Regions from separate parts of the Mus musculus genome. Here all the other regions are reported to be linked to region 1. Evidence: microRNA targets listed by miRTarBase, many of them from high-throughput screens and not tested one by one. Region 1 holds a microRNA gene; each other region holds the end of a gene's coding sequence.
What was found. Region 1 holds the annotated microRNA mmu-miR-743b-3p (GAAAGACAUCAUGCUGAAUAGA, at 1,630-1,651, shown strand). A microRNA usually pairs through its seed, bases 2 to 8, with sites in the 3' UTR of a target mRNA and lowers its output. Matches are read on the target gene's strand: a 7mer-m8 pairs with bases 2 to 8, a 7mer-A1 pairs with bases 2 to 7 and ends in A, and an 8mer does both.

Region 2: the mRNA of Tmem41b is a reported target of mmu-miR-743b-3p. Seed matches in the 3' UTR shown: 8mer at 1,179-1,186.
Region 3: the mRNA of Pgp is a reported target of mmu-miR-743b-3p. Seed matches in the 3' UTR shown: 8mer at 427-434 and 7mer-m8 at 1,010-1,016.
Region 4: miRTarBase lists Ankrd16 as a target of mmu-miR-743b-3p. Seed matches in the 3' UTR shown: 8mer at 2,919-2,926.
Region 5: the mRNA of Nmnat3 is a reported target of mmu-miR-743b-3p. Seed matches in the 3' UTR shown: 8mer at 1,390-1,397.

The regions. Positions count from the first base shown.
Region 1 is chrX:66,774,850-66,778,916 of GRCm38, reverse strand. It overlaps Mir743b (microRNA 743b), which reads left to right and starts at 1,585; the gene lies at 1,585-1,661. It overlaps Mir743 (microRNA 743), which reads left to right and starts at 2,099; the gene lies at 2,099-2,160. It also overlaps the pseudogene Gm14681.
Region 2 is chr7:109,971,143-109,975,209 of GRCm38, reverse strand. Tmem41b (transmembrane protein 41B) reads left to right here. Exons shown (of 7, transcript NM_153525.5): 7 at 259-3,023. The coding sequence ends at 428. Among named protein-coding and RNA genes, the nearest start is that of Dennd5a, 13 kb to the right of the region's middle.
Region 3 is chr17:24,471,150-24,475,216 of GRCm38, forward strand. Pgp (phosphoglycolate phosphatase) reads left to right here. Exons shown (of 2, transcript NM_025954.4): 2 at 93-1,961. The coding sequence ends at 418. Mlst8 (MTOR associated protein, LST8 homolog (S. cerevisiae)) reads right to left here. Exons shown (of 9, transcript NM_001252464.1): 9 at 2,401-4,067. It overlaps Bricd5 (BRICHOS domain containing 5), which reads left to right and starts at 2,735. Exons shown (of 5, transcript NM_175682.3): 1 at 2,735-3,089; 2 at 3,256-3,411; 3 at 3,490-3,591; 4 at 3,841-3,994. The coding sequence starts at 3,072.
Region 4 is chr2:11,789,122-11,793,188 of GRCm38, reverse strand. It overlaps Ankrd16 (ankyrin repeat domain 16), which reads right to left. Exons shown (of 7, transcript NM_177268.4): 7 at 2,864-3,455. The coding sequence ends at 3,298. Among named protein-coding and RNA genes, the nearest start is that of Ankrd16, 13 kb to the right of the region's middle.
Region 5 is chr9:98,409,670-98,413,736 of GRCm38, forward strand. It overlaps Nmnat3 (nicotinamide nucleotide adenylyltransferase 3), which reads left to right. Exons shown (of 5, transcript NM_144533.3): 5 at 408-1,759. The coding sequence ends at 772. Among named protein-coding and RNA genes, the nearest start is that of Rbp1, 11 kb to the right of the region's middle.

The DNA of each region.
Region 1 (4,067 bases):
TGCATTGTGATATAGGACAGATACCAGTCACTTTCTACTAACCTCTCTCAATATAAGGATACAGAAAAAAGTAAAACTTGATGAAGATGATGAGGACGATGATGAGGATGATGAGGATGATGATGATGATGATTTTGATGAAGAGGAAACTGAAGAAAAGGTCCCAGTGAAGAAATCTGTACGAGATACCCCAGCCAAAAATGCACAAAAATCAAACCAAAATGGAAAAGACTTAAAACCGTCAACACCGAGATCAAAGGGTCAAGAGTCCTTCAAAAAACAGGAAAAGACTCCTAAAACACCAAAAGGACCTAGTTCTGTAGAAGACATTAAGGCAAAAATGCAAGCAAGTATAGAAAAAGGCGGTTCTCTTCCCAAAGTGGAAGCCAAGTTCATTAATTATGTGAAGAATTGTTTCCGGATGACTGACCAGGAGGCTATTCAAGATCTCTGGCAGTGGAGGAAGTCTCTTTAAGAAAAGGGTTTAAACAGTTTAAACAGTTTGGGGTATCTCTCTCAATATAAGGATACTCATAAAGTACTGTCATTGTAAATGTAAGAACATAGATGCACATGCAAGAGTATTTTCTGATTCTAAGATCGATTGTAGCTACCTTCACAGGACATTGTTTAGGTGAAGATATAGGGGGAACCTTTCATCTAATTCCTATTTCTCATAGGTGAAAATATTTAAAATTAGGGACATAGCACTATGGAAAATAAGTTTAGTTTCATTTTAATTTTTAAGTGCTTTTTAAATTAAAATATTTTATAATTCTCCCCTTTCGTTTCTTCCCTTCAGCCACTCTAATCAACTAACCCCTTTGTTCTCTCTCTCATTCATGCCCTGCTTAGTCCATATTTTGAAAGTTTTATGTATGTTATTTCAGTGCTGACCATGGAAAAGCAGTTGGTGGGCTCTTCTCTGCTGAGTACTATTTCTCCTGAAAGCTTTTTAGTGTCAATCCCTATACACATTAATGTCAGTGAGACTTAAGTGCGTGTACACATGGTCTCTCAGAGTGAGTAATGTTCAACAAGCTCCTTACTTTGTATACCCTGGACCTTATACTTCGTCTTCAAAGGCATCCTTGAGATTGCTACCATTTTCATCATTTCTCATTTAAAGCCCCACTTTTTTAGACTTAAAAGGTGCTTAAGGTTGTACACATGCCTCAAAATGGTCAGAGAGTGCAATTATAAAAGTAATATGTTTATTATTAATGGATATTTAATATCAGCAAAATGAGATAAAAAATTGGGATCACAACATTCAGAAGGAGAAATGAAAGGTGAAGGATTTTGTCATTTCCTGGACCTGTGAATAAAGAAATCTAGTGTTCACCTATCACACTAGACTACAAGAATTGATGAAGGCTCATGAAAACTAGTATATACTGTATTTATCTTCACAGCATACATCCTCAAGGTGAATTTAGACAGGATCCTCAAATATGATGGTTATTACTACATGGTAGAGAAAAAAAGATGAAGCATCAGTCATACTGATGCAAAGCATGCAACTAGTACTTAACTTTTTGTCCAGGACACTGAAATAGGAGTGGGAGAGGGCAGTATGTTGTGTGCAGTGCTGTGTTCAGACTGGTGTCCATCATGTGAAATATTTGTGAAAGACATCATGCTGAATAGAGTAAGGCCCATGATATTCTTCATTTATTATGCCTTAATTGGTCAGAGTGGTGCAGTGCAGTTACACTTGACATGAATCCCTCATTGTAATTAGTCATATGTAACCCTCAGGATCCATATTTATCCAGAGTATAATTTTAGATGTTCAATTTTTACACAATTATAACATGTAGGTTAAAGAAAAAAATACTTAGAAGAAACTAAACCCACAATCAACAAATGATACATCTTTTATCTATGTAGATTTGAGAATCAACACTGTAAATAGAGACCAGGACATAGTATACAGTGAAGAACTAGAAACTCATAGCCTACTGTAGGAATGTTTTCTAATATATACATATAAACAGAAGTGAGTTTTCATGTTGAGTGGGGCAGAATGATTTGTGTGACATGTAGATGAAGGATCTGGGGCAGAGCATTCTCATTAAAGTTCTTGTATGCAGTGCTGTATTCAGATTGGTGCCTGTCATGTTTATAAGAATGAAAGACACCAAGCTGAGTAGAGTAGGGCTTATTGTGTTCTTCATTGCAGGTGGTATTATGTGGTCAGGGTGTTTTATCTGTAGTTACACAAAATGTAACCAGTCCTAATCTGTTACCTAAGTACAATTTTGATTCCCAGTGTTAACTTTATAGCCGCATATAGATTGGAGAATTAACACAAAGTTTGGCAGTCAACCATATAGTAGGACATAGTATGTTATGTACAAGGAATATTCCCTAAGATAGGAATAAATATGATATATGTTAAGGTTTTATACTCATTAAGGCAGATTGATAAATAGGATACTATTAGGACATGATTGAGGCCCGCCCTACATGCTAAAATTCTATACAGAGCCATATTTGCTTAAACTGTTAACCAGTTCTTCTGTGTGAGTAGAATAAGTCTAACAAGCTGTCTCATTACTTTTAGCATAGTGATTTTTGTATAAGTACAAATATCCTAGCATTTCTGATTATGGTGTTCTTTGACTTTTCTGGGCCCTAGGACACCTTCAGGGTTTTTAATGGTGTTGTTGTCACCTTCATGCTTTTTGTTGTTGTTGTTATTCAAAAATTCACATAGGTCCGATAAAATACAGAAGGAAAATTCAATTTATTTATGTGCTAAAAAACATACTTTTAAGAGCCTAAAGCACAGTCTTTAGAATAATTAGATTGTATGCTTGAGGCCCTAAGTTTGGCACGTGGTCTGGCAAGAATGAAGGAAAGGGTATTAAGCTGAGAGTGATGATCAGTTATTGGTACTCAGAGTTATTCATCTTATTGGAATGCAGGAAGAAGATGTCAAATTATATATGCAAGGTGATGTATAATGAGTTTTGCATTCCCTAGGTGTGTTCAGGGTTCAGGCATCCTTCCTGATGTCATAACTTGTACAAGTGATGAATATTATTAGAGGTTATAGAGTTGATAGAGTCAGCACTTCTACATTTGTTTTGTTTCTTTTTTTCTGAAAATGTTTAAGATATATCCTGACCACAATTTCACATCCCCCATCTTCTCTGAGATCCTCCCCACCTTCACTACCAGATTTCTTTATCTTCCTTTAGAAAAATCAGCAAGATAAATGAGTGAATAAAGAATAATTTAAAATGCCCAAGAAACACATTATACACATAAAGAGAGAGAGAGAGAGAGAGAGAGAGAGAGAGAGAGAGAGAGAGAGAGAGGAGAGACAGAGAATACCTACAAAATATAATTGAGTTCATATTGTGTTGGCTGTATAATTCTTGGCATAGAGCCTACAATTAAATGTGGTTACTATACCCAGTGAGATGAAATTGAAGAAAACAATTTTTCTTTGTAAGTAGCTGTCAATTGGAAATAATTTATTAGTTAATGATGGGAATTCATATCCATTTTCCATGCTCACTCATGGGAACATGTTTGGTTTGAACTTGTTCAGGTCCTGTGTATTCTGTCACAGTCTGGATGAGTTCATATGTGCATCAGTCCTGTTGTATATAGAAGGTCTTGTTTCCTTGATGTTATCCATTACCTCTGGCTCTCATTGTCTTTCAGCTTCATCTTCAGCACAACTCCTTGATCCCCAAGGGAAGGTGTTTGATAAAGACCTCCCACTTAGGAATGATTATTTCATACCCCTTACTCTCTACACATTGTTCCAAGAAAAAGAAGCATATTTGATGATATCTGAGGAAAACACTGATCTATACATACTATAGAATATCATTAGGAGTCATTTTATTGTTATGGTCCTTTACAGAAAAACTGGTTTTCTCTAGGCTCACGGCCTTTCTAGTCTCATGTTTTTGACTGATTGTATAGAATTGGATGTGAATTCTGTCTCATGGAGTGGGCCTTAAGTCCTATTATAAAGAGGTTATGTTCTGCCACAACATTTGTACTACTTTTTCACCAGCATGCCTTGCAGGCATATCTTTGTT
Region 2 (4,067 bases), not on the chromosome of region 1:
CTTGCTATGTAGACCAGGCTGGCCTCAAATTCACAGAGATTCTCCTGCCTCTGCCTCCCAAGTTCTGAGATTAGAAGTGGAGGCTCACACCTGTCTGTAACTCTAGATCTGATGACCTCTTCTGGCACTGGGTACACACGGTACACTTACATACACTTGTCACAAAACATGCAAACATGAAAAAATGGTGGCTTTTCTTTTCGTGACAGGCTGCCACTGCTCCTCACTCTCTCACTGTTGTCTTGTTTTTTGTTCTAGGTGTTGCACCTCCTTCTTTTGTAGCAATCAAGGCAGGAACAACTCTGCATCAGCTTACAACAGCAGGGGAAGCTGTTTCCTGGAGCTCGGTATTTATTCTGATGGTTTTGGCCCTTCTTTCTATCCTGCCAGCCATCTTCCAAAAACAACTAAAGCAGAAGTTTGAGTGAAAAGACATGGCTTTTCCTTTACCACCGCCATCACTCCTGCCACCACCACTGTCATCTCAGGATTAGCAGGTGTATTCATGTTACGTTTGGACATCACCTCTTCAGTCACTGAAAGAAGGACTTGTAAAGTAAAATAGCCCATGAGAGAGAATGCACATATGGGAGAACAGAAGTTGGGGCCCTATGAGAAGTGCTGTCACCTGCACCTGACCTGTGAGAGTCACTGTTCCAGGGTTAGCTCTGAGACATCACTCATTGTCTTGGTTTGGAATTCTTACTCTAAATGATTCATTTGAAGTGTTTTCCTCTTACATCTGACTAATGACTAAAATCGTGAACTCAGGTACAGTGGAACATACTTAAAACTCCAGCTGCCCGGGAGGCTAAGGCTAGCTGTGAAAGTCACAAGACACCCTGTATTAAAGTAAAATAAGGAACAGTGAAGATAAAATAAAATAAAAATTCAGAGCACAAACCAAATACTTGAAGCAAAAATGAGTTTTCATTTTCTTTCTCTTTTCAGACAGCACTTTCCATAGGCCAGTGTATGTAGCAATGATGGGTTATTTAAGTTTTCCTTGGAAATTTGTATCATGGATTAGTCCAATAATTTGAATTCTGGCCAGTCTGTTTTCATCCTTTTTTCTAGGTTTTGCAGTATTTCCACCATACATATAGAAAAGGAGAATTATATATCTGTATCATATTGGTGTTGATAATGTATATTAAGATAATGATATTTTGTTACAGTGTCTTTATTATCTCAAAGGGGGTTCTAAAGTAAATACTCAAAGCATATACTTTTTAGACATTATTTTATACTGAAACAACTGACAGTAGGTAGGACATTACTGATTAAATCTAGTTTATTTGTTCCAATGACTGTAAAATTTGCCTCATAGATTGTCTGGTCATTAAAGAATGTATTGTAATTACCTTTCATGCATGATACATCTGCGATTGCTCTGTTGCCTTTCCTCTGATGACCTCCTTGGGGCAGCACTTGATTGGTACACTTTGCCAACTGTAAAGCTTCTACTTTCTCACCTTGACATGGTGACTGGTGTCTCCCATTTCTTGGAGCCTCCCTTTGGCTGCTTTTGTTCCCTGCCAGGACAGACCCATGTAAAGCACTAAGATCTCCGTTGGTATGTTGAACACTTGCTTTAGTGGAGTGGGAGTCCTTGTGTCTTCAAAGTCTGATCATCTCAAAGCCTGTTTCTCCTGCAAAGTGTGGACTAATCCTTCTCTGTCGCAGTATTAATGTTACAAATACAAGGAAGATAATACTGATCAATATTGTATCTGTCTTCTGTCCTTTTGTGTTAAATTGTTATGTTGTCTTATTGACCAGAGACTGAGTGATAAAGCTTTTATTATTTTTACAAATGAGTTAAACACATAGATGTTTAGGACAAAGTCTACTAATATTTATGTGATATTATTTATGTGATATATATATATCATTGAAGTCAGTCATGTAACATGCTTGTAATTCCATGACTTGGGAAGTAGAGTTTCATGTTTAACTTTGGCTACATAGTGAGTTTGATGCAACAATCTGGGCTATATAAGAACCTGTCTCAAAAAATACATGTATATATTAATTCATACAAATTTTCAGCAGGCCTCTAAAGCTCACATTTTGGAGAAGCACTGCTGTTTCTTTGGGTTGTTATGGTGCTTACTCTATGCTGAGAGTGTTCTCTCCATCCTCTAGTGCATGGACTCTTTCCCTTTGCTATGTTTTTTCCTATACTCAACAGGAGCTACCACTTTAGTTGGATGTTTTCTTCTCCCAGTAGAGAGTAACCATTGTGTTAACATTTTACCCTTGGCTGTCAAGAAAGAACTTGGACCAAGCATTGTGACTAATTAATGCCCAGTGCTTGGAAGGCCGAAGCAGAAGGATAAGGAGCTTGTGGACAGCTTGCGTTGCCTGAGGCCTTGTCTCAGGCAAAAAAATCTCAGCAGTAGATTGTACCCCACAATCACCTGTATGCCACCTGTGTTCATTGAGCACAGACTTGATATAATGACAAATGTAAGTCGTCCAAGATTGAAACACTCCCTATCTTCGGTGCCAGAGATCCCAGGGCCTTGCACCCTAGGATTTAAGCCTGACCACAGCCATAAGAGATTTCCTAGTAATCCCAACAAAACATCCTATTGTAATGGAAAGGCAAGCAGGCTAACTAGGCATACACTGACAAAGACAGTTTCCTTCTTAGTTACGACTATTTATTTCCTGGAGCTTTGTTACTTTGAATCTAATATATCCATGATCTTAATAAATGTAAACTAGCTGGGTGGTGATTTTTTTTAATTACCATTTTTTATGAAGCCTTTTATTTCTTAGAACTATATGTAAGTCTATTAGAAGTGTTTCAAAATAAGATTAAAGATCAGTATATGGGGTGCTGGAGAGATGGGTCAGTGGTTAAGACCACCACTGCTCTTCCAGAGGACCCAGGTTCATTTCCCAGCACCCACATGGCAGCTCACACTTGTCTGTAACTCCAGTTCCAGGGTTTCTGATACCCTCACATACATGTAATGAACATAAATAAAAACACATTTCATATTTTAAAAACCGAAGATAATTTTCCCACCAATGATGTTTGAGTGATCCAGTTTCCCTGGTTAGTAGCTATGTTCATAGTAGACCAAAATGGAAGCAACCCAGATGTCCTTCAGTGAATGAGTTTTTAAAATTAAAGCAAAGTTTAAAAAAAGTTCAGTGTAGTGGTACATTTAGAATCCCAGCCCTCAAGAGATAGAGGTAAAAGGAATAGAAGTTCAAGGCTAGCCTGAGCTACATAATAAAACCCTGTCTCCCAAACCAACAGAAAAAAAATCTGGTGTCTCTCCTCTCTCGGTTTGAGCTACAGCTCAGTAGTAAAGCTTTTCTACCATATCTCAGACTTCTAGGTTAACCTCTGTGGGGAAAACACAAAGAGTAGGACTAAAGAGACCTACTCTTTGGCATGGGGATATTTACCTGAAATACTAGATTGTGGCTAGAGAGACAAACACATTCAAGGCCTGCCTAGGCTAATAGTGAGAACCTGTCTCAAAAACACACACAGGGCTGGAGAGGTGGCTTTTCCTCAGATAACCATAATCTCTTTAAGAATGGAAACATGGCCCATGACTAGTAAGGTTGGTCTGATTTCCACAAACTCATGTCTGAAGAAAAGGAAGAGTATCAGGGACTGTGGTTCCGTAGTTAGTGTGCGTGTCTTGTGTGTATTGTGCCACCCTAAGTTCAATCCCCAGCCATGCAGCAAGAGAAAGAGTAAAGGTGTCAGGTGGCGGTGGTTTGCAGGATAGTAAATGGTGAGGGTAGCCAGTTTGTACCCAGTGACATAAGGGAGAAACTGGGTCTGGAAACCTGAAGCCTGCTAGCATTGCAAAGCCCAGGTTGTCAGTGTTCTACACTCACAGAAGTGCTGTTGAAAGCACTCCGTGTGGGAAGCCAGAGATCTGAATTGAATCAGTGATGGTGAGTTCCTGTCCTCAAGACTCCAGGTTTGCTTCTTTTAAATAAAGGTTTGGTGAATGCCTACAAGGTTTGTGTTGTGGCTTTTAAATTGACCACAGGTAACATACAGTCACTGGTAGTATTGTAATGGGACA
Region 3 (4,067 bases), not on the chromosome of region 1:
GTCCGTGCACCTAGGGGCTGGAGGTTGGAGGGCGGGCCCAGCCCTTCCGTGTCCTCTGACCCCAGCGTCCCCTTCCCTCCCTCGCTCTGCAGGTACCGGCTGTCTGGTGCGAGCCGTGGAGATGGCCGCCCAGCGCCAGGCGGACATCATCGGGAAGCCTAGCCGCTTCATCTTCGACTGCGTGTCCCAGGAGTATGGTATCAACCCGGAGCGCACCGTCATGGTGGGAGACCGCCTGGACACAGACATCCTCCTGGGCTCCACCTGTAGCCTGAAGACTATCCTGACCCTCACCGGAGTCTCCAGTCTTGAGGATGTGAAGAGCAATCAGGAAAGTGACTGCATGTTCAAGAAGAAAATGGTCCCTGACTTCTATGTTGACAGCATTGCCGACCTCTTGCCTGCCCTTCAAGGTTAAAGATCTAGTGTCTTTAATCTCTGGAATAAAAAAAAGAAAAAGAAAATCAGCTACCTAAATTAATAGTGGGGCTTAGAAATTGCTCTGTTAGGTGGCTGCAGGTTAACTGAAGTTAATAAGCAAAGGCAGTAGTTAATCTTGTAAGTAAACGTTGGGGGGGGTTGTTTACAGAGAATTATATTTTAAGATGCACTTTTAAGCTTGGAAGGCATTATGGGGTGGGCATAGCATGTGCCCAACATTCAGGTAACCTCAGGCCCTGTTGCTGAGACTGAAATGGGTCAAGGGTTGTGTGTCATGCTTTTTACTGAAATGTAATCAGGGATCAGGCCCTAAGGTGGGCAGAGTTAAAAAGGGCTCTTAATGACACAGAGACCAAAAACTGGGGTTTCCCCTAATGATCCTGCGGCAGAGGCGCCTGCTACTGCGTCCCAGTTCCTCACCTGTGGGGTGGGAGCGCTCTATAGCTGGGGTTTGGATGCCAACCCCGACAGCCTCCGCTACTCTGCCTCTTTGACATCACAATTGTCTGTTCTGTTTCAGATGCTCAGTACTGCAGACCCTCATGCACAGTAACAGCCCAACTAAACTTGTCTTTTGTGAACTTGGCCTAGGTGTCTTAAGTGTGGCCTGCTGAGCAGCTCCCAACACCATGCTGCTTTCCCGGGAGCTCAGAACAGTTGGGTTGTTTGGGGTTTTGTTTTTTTCAAACTAGTGAACAACACTGTCAAGTGTGAAATTGGATCTTACGCGTGTGGATTAATAGTTGTGCTGTCGCAACGGTAAACCCCACTAAAGAAATCTCCTGTCCCAGTCAGCAGCATAGCCAGTGTGCTAGCCGAGGATTGTCTTGTTTCCCAGAGTCCTCTGGGTAGGCAGGAGTCAGTCCTGAGGATAGTTAAGTCTCTAAGAAAGCAGCCAACCCCCCCCCTTGTCCAGGTCAGTTTTGTTGTAGACAGGTGGACTTCCTTGTTGGTGGCCAGCCATAAGACCTACTAGCCAGTTGGCTTCTCAGCATCTCTGGCCTTTTCCCCTGCTCTTCCAGTCCCTGACCTTTCAGTGTTCTGAGCAGACTGGGAAGTTCCTTTTGGCTGACTCCTTTCTGGCACCATGCCCTGTACCAAGTGGCTATGCTCATGGCCACAGGACTTCGCCTGCTCACCAAGTTCTCAGAGCAATAAAAGGTATTCATCCATGCCGGAAGCTGCTCCCAGGTCAGGGGTGGGAGTGGAATGGTGCCATGGATCAACAGGACCTACTCACCAAGTTCTCAGAGCAATAAAAGATATCTATCCATGCCTGAAGCTGTTCCCGGGCCAGGGGCGGGAGTGGAAGGTGCCATAGATCAACACGACTGTGGTAGTGCCTATGACATTGGTGGTGCTGATCCTTGGAGTCTGGATAATGACCAGGCTTGGCAGGTGCGTAGCCAGAGAGACCCTCCTCTGGACAAACCTGGAGAACCTGTGTGTGTGTGACATTTCTAGCTTGTCTTGCTGTGTGATCTCAAATGCACATTAAACTCTCAAACCCATGATGATTAGGTCTGCCTTCCTCTAATTTCTTTGAGAAGCAGTTGTCTAGCTATGAGTGGGAGCAAGGCAGGAGCACTGAAGGCAGGCTGGGATTCCAACTCTAAAATCATTCCCAGTGGGCATGCCCACCTGCAGCCCCACCCTGTCTATAAGGAACAGGTGCTAAAGAAACTGGAAATACAAGGTGTAAAGTACTGGGATGTGTGTACAGCTAGGCCACCAAGTCACAGAGATAAGTGACCAAGACAATAGAGCTAGAGTAGGAAAAAACATGCTAGGGAACAGAGGCTGGCTTAACTAATGTGGAGCAAGGTACTTGTTCTTGGTCCAGCCTGAAGCACACGATCGTGCACATAGAAATATCAACAGCCCCATCTGATGCTAATGGGGGTCTTGAAAGAAGCTTGGGAGTTTGTGAGGGAAGGTAAGAAAGCAATCGGCCTCACACTGATGGTTCATACACATTTATTGATAGTTCCGGTGTCTAGCTCAGGAGTCCGGAGGCAACACCAAGAAAAAAAGTCTGCCCAACCAGATCAAAATCACCCTGGCGAAGACCTAGCCAATTCTGACTTCAAGGCCAGCTCTAACACACACCAAGACCCCATGTTCTGCACAGGCCAAGAGTCCAGAGACAAACTAGTGACCAGCAATCACATGTGGGGGAGAGGGTTGTCCTGGCTGAGGCAGGATATCAGATACTGGCTGGGAAGGAAGCAGTGGGGTTGGAAGGGGAGGATACAGTTTGATTCATCAAAGGCATCCTGAGGTTTCCCTGGCTGACTCCTCCAAGGGGCTGCAGACAATCAGTGCATTGTCAGCAGGGGCTGCAGCATGAAGCAAGGGCGCATCCACACTGAGAGCCTCAGGTCCAAGCCTGCTGAGGTAAGTCTCTACCACCCCCAAGACAAGAACTCAGGGATGCCATAGAAGAAAGGAATGTTACCACATACCATCCTCAGCCCCTTCCCTGAGTCTCTAAGCCAGAAGCCCCACGGCCAGTACTGTGCCCTCAGGTGAAGACCAAACCCTGCCATAGGGGCTGGAGAGCAGCAGGCCTGCTGCTGCTGCTGACACTGCTCACTGCGGGGGCCGTGGCTGGGGGGCTTCTTGGCTTCATGTACAGCTCTCCCAAGGTAAGCACCTCTTCAAGCCTCGGGGTATGCAGAGTGGGAAGAGGGCAGGAAGGCCAGTACCTGTCAGTTCTCGCATGGGGCCAGGTCTAGATACCAGCCTCGAGCAGATAGAGAACCAGAAGGATGTGGAAACATAGGTTAAGGCTGAATCCCAAATATCCCTTAGCCGTTGCTGCAGATGCTCCGAAAGACCTTCCCGAGCTCCAGGGTACCCTGGCCCAACCAAACTACTCTAGTGGATGTGGCCCAGAACATGGCAACCATCGTGGTGACTCCGTTTCAGAGCAACCACAGCTGGGCTGTGCTGTTTGACGGGCAGAACGTGAGTGGGCTTGGGAGAGAGAGAGAGTGGAGGTGTCAGGGGTGGCCTCGACTTACCTATCTGCCCCGCCACCCCCAGGGCTACATCTGTTACCGCCCTGCAGAGCACCAAGCCTGCTTCCTCCGTCTGATGGAAGCCCAAGATTGGGAGACCCTGCAGCTGCTGCTGAACACTTCCAGGGTGAGCAGTACTACTTGGCTTGCCACCCACAAACCCCCAAGGCCAGGGGATAAACAAAAGGTCCTCTGTGCAGTCCAGCTGGGCCAGCCAAGGCTCTGGTTTCAGGGGAACAGAAAGCTCTATTTTCCCCTGACTAAGGCTGTTGACAAGGGCAGGTGGAGGGGCCATCAGCCTGGGGTGGGCACCAATACCCTTCCCAGCCAGGAGCAAGGAAGTACTATACGGTGGTCCACCAGAGTCTTTCTGCAGGCCCAAGAGTCACATGTACCTGGCCGGGATACCCACTATGCCCAGGAGCTGCTGGCAGTTTTGGGGGGCCATACTGTGGACCCTACCCAAGTGGGAGTTTCAGTGCAACACCTTTGTGCAGACACTCCCATCTACTGGACCCAATGGGCAGAAGGTAAATTGGGATAGGTTGGGTGAAGAGGACTATGGCTCCTGTAGGACAGTACTGGGTAGGGGGCCCTTGGGAT
Region 4 (4,067 bases), not on the chromosome of region 1:
TAGGGAGGCAAAACCAGAAAACCGAATGAGATTACTTCAGTAGCAAGTGCAGAACAAAGAGGAGAAGCTGGGCATGAAGCTGAGTGTACCAGTATTCAAGGGGCAGACCCCAAGAGAGAAGTGTGCAAGGGACACAGAATAAGAAAAGGAAACTCAGAAGGCATGTACGATCATGCCTTCGATCCCAGCACTCAAGAGGGCCAAAGCAGGAGGACCACACACTAAAGTCCAGCTCAGGATGCCCACTGAGATCCTATCTTTGAAAAAAATGGGGTGGGGAGGGCTGTGAGGGGAGAAGATCAAAAAGAAGCAAAAGAACAAACCTGGAGTGAGTTATCTCTGGTACAAAGTCCAGAAAGCAGAAGGGACTAAGACATTAATAAGCCCAGAGTTAAGAAGCCTTTCTTAACCTGTCATGCCTTTAATCCCAGCACCCAGGAGGCAGGAGTAGGAGGCTCTGTGAGTTGGGGCCAGTCTTCTACATAGTGGGTTCCAGGACAGCCAGGGCTACATAGTGAGACCCTATCTAGACAATTAGAAAGTCCCTGGGGCCAGGCAGTGGTGGCACACACCTTTAATCCCAGCACTCGGGAGGCAGAGGCAGGCGGATTTCTGAGTTCGAGGCCAGCCTGGTCTACAGAGTGAGTTCCAGGACAGCCAGAGCTACACAGAGAAACCCTCACTCGGAAAAAAAAAAAAAAAAGAAAAGAAAAAGAAAAAAGAAAAAAGAAAAGAAAAGAAGTAAGTTCTCGGGTACTTCACAGGGAGTGGTCTGCACAGGGGATCAGCAGTAAAGCCAAAGCCAGACTGCAGCGTAGCAAGATGGGGCCTGTGAGCTGAGGTTCGAAATGTTGACTCTTCTCAAGGGAGTGTGTGTGAAAAAGGCTGCTTGAGATGGAATAATAACTATCTACAAAGCGTAAAAGCCAGAGAACAACATGAACAAACATGGGTAAGGTGTTCAGCACACCAGTTGTCATACATTAAGCACTCAATAAATATAAATCTCTAATGTATTCACTAACCACACTACAATATACTTACTCTGTACCAAGACTGTTCTAGGCCTCAGTCCTGACCCAAGCAGGTTAAATATCAATGGAAGACAGAGATAATAAAAAAGTTACTTGCAGTTTATATGGAATATTTGCTAGTGGTAAATACCAAGAAGAAAAAAACAAGTGGGAGGGGGTCTAGTTCTATTTTTGTTGCTCTGATAAAATACTCTGAAAAAAAAAAGCAACTCAGGAGAGAAAGGCTTATTTCACTCCCTAACTGTGCAGCAGTCCAGGAAGGGATCTCAAAGACACACCTGGAGTTAAAAGCAGAGAGAAATGAATGTATCGTGCCCACTTGTCTGCTCGCTGATGCTCAGCTCAATCTCTCCCCTCTTATACGGTTCAGGACATACTGTGCAGGGAATGACGCTGCCCACACTGGGCTGGGTCTTCCCATATCAATTAACTTAATTTTAAGACAATCCCTCACAGACACACGGACTGCTAACCCAATGGGAACTTAATGCCAACTTAGTGCGAATCATTAAGCTTCCCCTTTCAGGTGACTCTAGGTTATGTGAGCACTGAAGACGGTGGGAGCAAATGCTGCAAAAAGGGGTAAGGAGCATTTCAGGCAGGATGTCCTGGGAGAGTGACCTATTGAGAGACCCAAAGGAAATGAAGAAAGTAACCATAATTAGGGGGAAATACTTATTACCACATGGACTGCTATTAGTATTTCTGATCTAGTATTACACCCACAGTGTATTGTCATCATCTATCATTATTACTTTCTCTGCTACAATTAATGCTGTGATAACCACTACCGTCTCTGGCTGCTGAGTAATTTAAGCAGTGGCCTGTGGTAGTCAATGCTTACAGAGTCTAGTACTGGGAAGGGCAGAAGCAAAGGGACACAGGGGAATTAATTATGAGTGAAGAATTGCAAACAAGAAAGAGATAGCAGGCATTACAAGTCAGGCCTCAAAGCTCAGTGCTCAGAGCTTGGAAGTTTTGCAAATCTGAGGCTAGCACCAGGCACAGAAAGAGGCTTGTGCTGGGGAGGGGAGGAGGGGGAGGGGAAGGGAGAGAGAGAATATGAACAGGAATGGAGAGAATGCCTGTGTGTGTAAGGATGACCTTAAGCCCCAACATGCATACATTAAGTACCACACACCAGTATCAGTCTCAGACCCATAAGGCACGGGGACAGGGCGATCTCTGACGCGAGGGAGAGCGGTAATCCCGTCTGAGATGAGTATAGATGTACAGTGTATGAGAAAGATTATTAGATAGGATCGTGTTTCTACAGTAACATTTACCCGGTGGTTAGGAACAGGGGTTTATAAACTCCATAGGAGACTAATTAAGAGAAGCTGGAGGTCTTTGCTATTTGACAGGGCAAGCACAATATGGAGTGAGGGAGGTGGGTAATAGTATTAAACTAGTGAGGGTCAAATCCTGCTCATGACTGAACTTGTCTACTGAAACAGACAAAAACTCCTTCACATTTAAAATCTTCTCCCTGGGGCTGGAGAGATGGCTCAGCTCTGTGGTGCAGCACATTGACTGTTCCCTCAGAGGACCTGGGGTTGGATTCCCAGCATCCACACGGAGGCTCACACAACTGTAACTCCAGTTCCAGGGAATCTGCTGCCCCCTCTGGCCTTCAAAGGCACTAAGCATGCATGTGACACACAAACATACATGCAGGCAAACTATCCATTCACATATATAAAACAGTGTCTGTCCATCAAGTGTCTTTATAAACTTTGATAAAAACGGCAAAAACACGCCCTTCCTGGCAATGAAACCAAAGGGCCACATGAAAGCTACAAAGGAAAAAATTGAATAGGCCAACTATGTTTTAGAGCTTGAATAAACATCAGTTTATATTGTTTTATTAGATTTTTATATATTTAAAGACACATATATTACATTCACTCCCTAAGGATACACAAACCTCTATGTTTAACCTGATTCTCCTTGCAGCGTAGAAAAGCCAAGATCCGGGGCTGGTGATGTGCTTCAGTGGCATAGCACTTGCTGAGTGTGTGAAAGTTCTCAGTTTAACCCTCATTACAGTTTAAAAATGAAAAAACAAATGGCTACGTTCAAGATCACACAACATGCCAGGAATCCAGACTCCTGGTCATTCGACCGAAGAGCATGCAGAAGGAAAGGCAGCAGGAGGAGATGAAAACGCTGGCCGAGAAGGAACTCGATACCCTGTCTCTCAGCAACAGAAGGAGCAGAATATGAACGGCCTTGAACTCCATCGCCTCCTTCTTCAAGCATCCTACGATTTCACGTCATGGTCAAAGTCCTGAAGGATATCTACGCTTCTCGTGAGCTGCTGGGCCAAGGTGCCTGTGAGGTCTTCGGAATCCTTCAGTCCCGACTGTAGGAGGAGCCTGGTGCAAGCCACATGCTGACCTGCGCAGGCCAGATGCAGGACTAAAGGGAGACATGGGGGAATCTGCTGAGAACATGGACTGCACTCAGGAACAAATAGTGGATTATTCGGTTCTACTGAGCTTACGTTTCTGCACTCTGGACGTGAATACATGTGTATGTGCACTTGCCGCAGTGCCTGTGGCGTGAGGAGTCAGGGGACAACATACAGGAGCCGCCTCTCTTCCTGGTGCAGGCCACCAGGCTTGGCTGCATGTGCTCTCTCCCCAGTTGCACACATTTTACACTTTCGTACCCACCCATGGTGGCCTATGTTGGAGGGCAATTTTAAACTGACTGGGTTACAATTGTTTCTAAAGAAAACAAACCTGCCAGGATCGGTGGGACGCACCTTTAATTCCAGCAAATGAGAGGCAGATTTCTGTGAGCTCGAGGTGTCTACCTGTTTTATGTAGTGAGTTCCAGGACAGCCAGAGCTACATACAGAAAATCTATCTCAAAAAAAACCAAACAAACAAACAAACAAAAACCAAAAAGGAAGAAAGAAAAAGAAAAAAAAACTATCAAAAATAAATAAATAAATAAATCAGGGCAGAGAGATGGCTCAGAGGTTAAGAGCACTGACTGCTCTTTCAGAGGTCCAGAGTTCAATTC
Region 5 (4,067 bases), not on the chromosome of region 1:
AGTTGTCCAGAGAGCCTGTACATTTTCACGGGGTTTGTAGAAAAATTTTAGGTCCTCGGGATAATAATGTAATAACAAGGGCTGAAGTGAATGCAGGGGTGGTGACTTATACAACGACCACAGCCTCATCTTCGTGGGACTTTAAAACTCTCACTGCTTAGCAAATAATCAAGTTCTGGGGACAGCATGGCCACCTCTGGGACTTTGTCTGCTCTGGTCCAAAGCAGCTACAGACAGACTTCTGTCTGAGCACTGAGCACTGGAAAGCAAAATCTTTTTTTTTCTTGTCTTGACAATTTGTCAATGTTAACCCGAAGCCATGAGGCTGCAATGATTACTTATAACTGTGGGCCCCAGTATCACTTCAGATTCCCGTAACCTTGCTGGGACCCACCCTTGTTTTACAGCACTGCCAGAGTTGAAACTCCTCTGCGGAGCTGATGTCCTCAAGACCTTCCAGACCCCCAACCTCTGGAAAGACACGCACATCCAGGAAATAGTGGAGAAGTTCGGCTTGGTGTGCGTGAGCAGGAGCGGTCATGACCCGGAAAGGTACATCTCGGACTCGCCCATCCTCCAGCAGTTTCAGCACAACATTCACCTGGCCAGGGAACCCGTTCTGAACGAGATCAGTGCCACATACGTCAGGAAAGCCTTGGGACAAGGGCAGAGCGTGAAGTACCTCCTCCCTGAGGCCGTCATCACCTACATCAGGGACCAGGGCCTCTACATCAATGACGGTTCCTGGAAAGGGAAAGGAAAGACTGGCTAGAGGGCCTCCTGGGGAGTAGGGGTATTCTGCTCTGGGTTCTGGGTTTGTTTCCACAGTGGTTTTTTTTTACCATGGGTGACTTCCTACTCCAGGAAGAGATCGTGCCTGTGGCAGAGACAGTCGAGTATCAGAGCAACTTAAGAGGCATGACAGGTCATAAGATTAGGGTCACTAAGGAGGAGACCTGCTTACTGTGTAAATGGCAGTCATGGGAGGCACACTGATGCTGTCCTGAGCATGGTTGGCCCCTGAGGGGTCCATCAAGTCGCCTTCGTTCGGGTTTTGTTTTTGTTTTTTGTTTTATAACTCGGGCCAGGTGCAGCATGCTGGTCTTGATAGGCAGAGTTTGACAGGGCGCTAATTACTGAGCAGAGGACCTTTTCAACATCCTCGGCTCAAACAATAATAGCAAGTGAGGATTCAGAAATCTGGAAACAGAACATCATTGATTTCCAATGTATCCTCCCTTGTAACCATGGCCTGCCTGCCTGTCTGTCTGTCTGCCACCTGCCTGTGGTGTAACATAAAATTTTTGACTACCTTCTTTCTATGTTGTGGTCAAGCAATATGTGTTTAAGATCTGTTTTATCATATGAGCGTATGTGTGTGTGTGCATGTGTCTTTACATGCGTGTGTACATGCACATGGGAGGGACATCAGAGTGCCTGAAACCCAAGTTACTGGCAGTTGTGAGCCCCCTGATGTGGGTGCTGGAACCCAAACTCCAGTCTTAGGGAAGAGCAGCAAGAGAGTTCTTAACCACTAAGCTGTCTCTCCAGCCCCCTCAAGCAATATTTTTGATACACCATGTATTTTTACACTGCTATACTCTAAGCACCAGGGTTCCCAATATCCTGATTTCTAAAAGGGAACCGAAGTAAAACAGATGCCTGACTGTTTTAGAAGATCTTTTGAATGTTTTATGACTGCCTGCTTGTTTGAATATTGGCAAAAAGATAAATAATAAATTGACATCAAAAATACTAATGAAAAGTTTCTCTTTTTTTTTTCTTCCTTTGTTATATTATTCATGCCCAGGGATCCAGGATTGCTCTTCTTTTTAAATACTCTGTGAGATTTGCTCCCATTCCAATTGAAGTGGCCTGAATTTAAGAGTTTGTGTCCTGAGCACTGGAAATAGAGGACTGTCCTAGTCACATTTACACAGCCTAGCGTCACCCAGGAGGAAGTCTCAATTGAATGATTAGCCGGATCAGATTTTGGCCTGGGGGCAGGTTTGTGCAGTGGCGTTGTCTTGTTTGCTAGCTACTGTAGAAGCATCCAGCACACTGTGGGCAAGACCTGGAGCTGGTGGTCCTGAGCTATCTAAATGCCCTAGCTGTGCGTGAGCTTAAGCCAGGCAGCAAGCAGCATGCCTCCACAGTTTCTGCTTCAAGTTGCGGCCCTGCCTTCCCTCAGTGACAGACTGTGTGGCCTGGAGGTATAAGATGACATAAGCCCTTTCCTCTCTAGTTTGCTTTTGGTCAAACTGTTTTATCACAGCTAAAGAGATGGAGCTAGAACTAGGAAGGAACTTAGCAGACCCCAAGCAGTCTTCCAACCTAAGGCAGCAGGCCCTGGTGGTGTTTCTGTGTGCCCTGAAGGAGGAGAATGAAGTGTTTGGGATCGCCCACTCCACTCCTGGATTCACCTTTGGGCCTGCTGAAGGAGTAGCACAGAGTCTGAGTCTCCATGCTCCGTCCTGGCCCAGCTTGGCTACATATTTAGTGACACAGAAAAGCAATAGGGCAGGCAAAGAGGATCTGATAGCCCTCCCTCCCCAAAAACTCCCAGGATTCGTGTGAGCCGTGAAACAGATAAGCAGGAAATACAGAGCACAGTGGCTCCTGTGAGGGCCTGCAGGATTCTTCCCTCCTTGCCTGGGTTCTCCCCTCCAAGAGGTCCCCGAGAGCCGTGCTCACTCAGGGAAATAGGGATCGAATAGCCTTGTCTAAAACCTGCCACAGAACATAGTAGGACTTCAACTCCTCTCACCACTGTAGGCTATACAGTTTCTCTAACTCCAAAGTGGAGGATTTGATTAAGCCTACTCTGAATTCTTCCAACTATAATTTTCTTTCTTACTTACTAAAAAAAAGAAGAAAGAAAGAAAGAAAGAAAGAAAGGAAGGAAGGAAGGAAGGAAGGAAGGAAGAAAGAAAGAAAGAAAGAAAGAAAGAAAGAAAGAAAGAAAGAAAGAAAGAAAGGAAGAAAGAAAGAAAGAAAGAGTATATGTATGTGTATATAATATATATTACATATAGTTAGTTAGCTTGGGTTTTGAGCTTCTGTTTTGATTTGGTTTTGTTTGTTTGGGACTATTGTTTGGCAAAGTTTCACTCTTAACACAGACTAGCCTGGAATTTGCTAGGTAAGCTAAACTGGCCTAGCCTCAGTTTTTCAGCAATCCTCCTGCCTCAGTGCTGGGATTCAGAGCACACAGCACCATTCCCAGCTCAACCCTGAGTTTGTAAGACTGAATGCTTCCGTTTCAGCCTCTTGGGCCTTCTTTGGGCCCCGTACCCATCTAGCCAGACTGGAAACTTCCAATGGCCAGGGGATCATTTGTAGATGCTAATGTTGTATTGTTCTCCCAGGAGCTGGCTCCAGGAAGACTCTCAGGCCCCTGCAAATGGACCAACAGATTCAGCTTTTTAATGAGCCTCATTGGCCTCAGCATCGCTCACTGCAGCATCAAATGATAACTTGTTTCATTAAGCTGAGGGTACCATTGAAACCGCATGACACTCCAATGAGTACCATCTTTTCTGCTCTCTGAGCCATATCACCCCACTGTTATATATGAGTCGAGAAGGGAGAGAACAAAGCCTGCATGCAGACAGTGGTATCTGAAAAGTGAGGTAGAGAAGGGGGCTGCAGCCTCAACAACGGACAGTCAGGGCTGTCCAACTCTTTGCCTGGATAATACTTCCCTGGCCTGTGTACTGTAAGACTCCTTTCTCTGTGCACAAGATGCTAATGCCTAACATCCCACAAATGTAGCAACACAACTGCCCAATACATTTGTCAAACATACCAGTTCTACTGCAGTTAGACCCACTGGTTCGAGACAACGATGGAGATGGGAGAGTTTATATTTTTCCCCTTCTCTTTCTCAGTTAAGGACATCAAGAAACTGCAGTATCTGAATGAGCTTCTTTAACAGAAGACCAGTGAGAGGCCTCAACCATTCAGGGAGTCATGTTCACTGTACAGCACTCGATGCCATTGCATAGGAATTAGAACACAGCACGCCGACTCCCAGGCACCCCAGCCTTCATTCTTCCCAGTCTCCA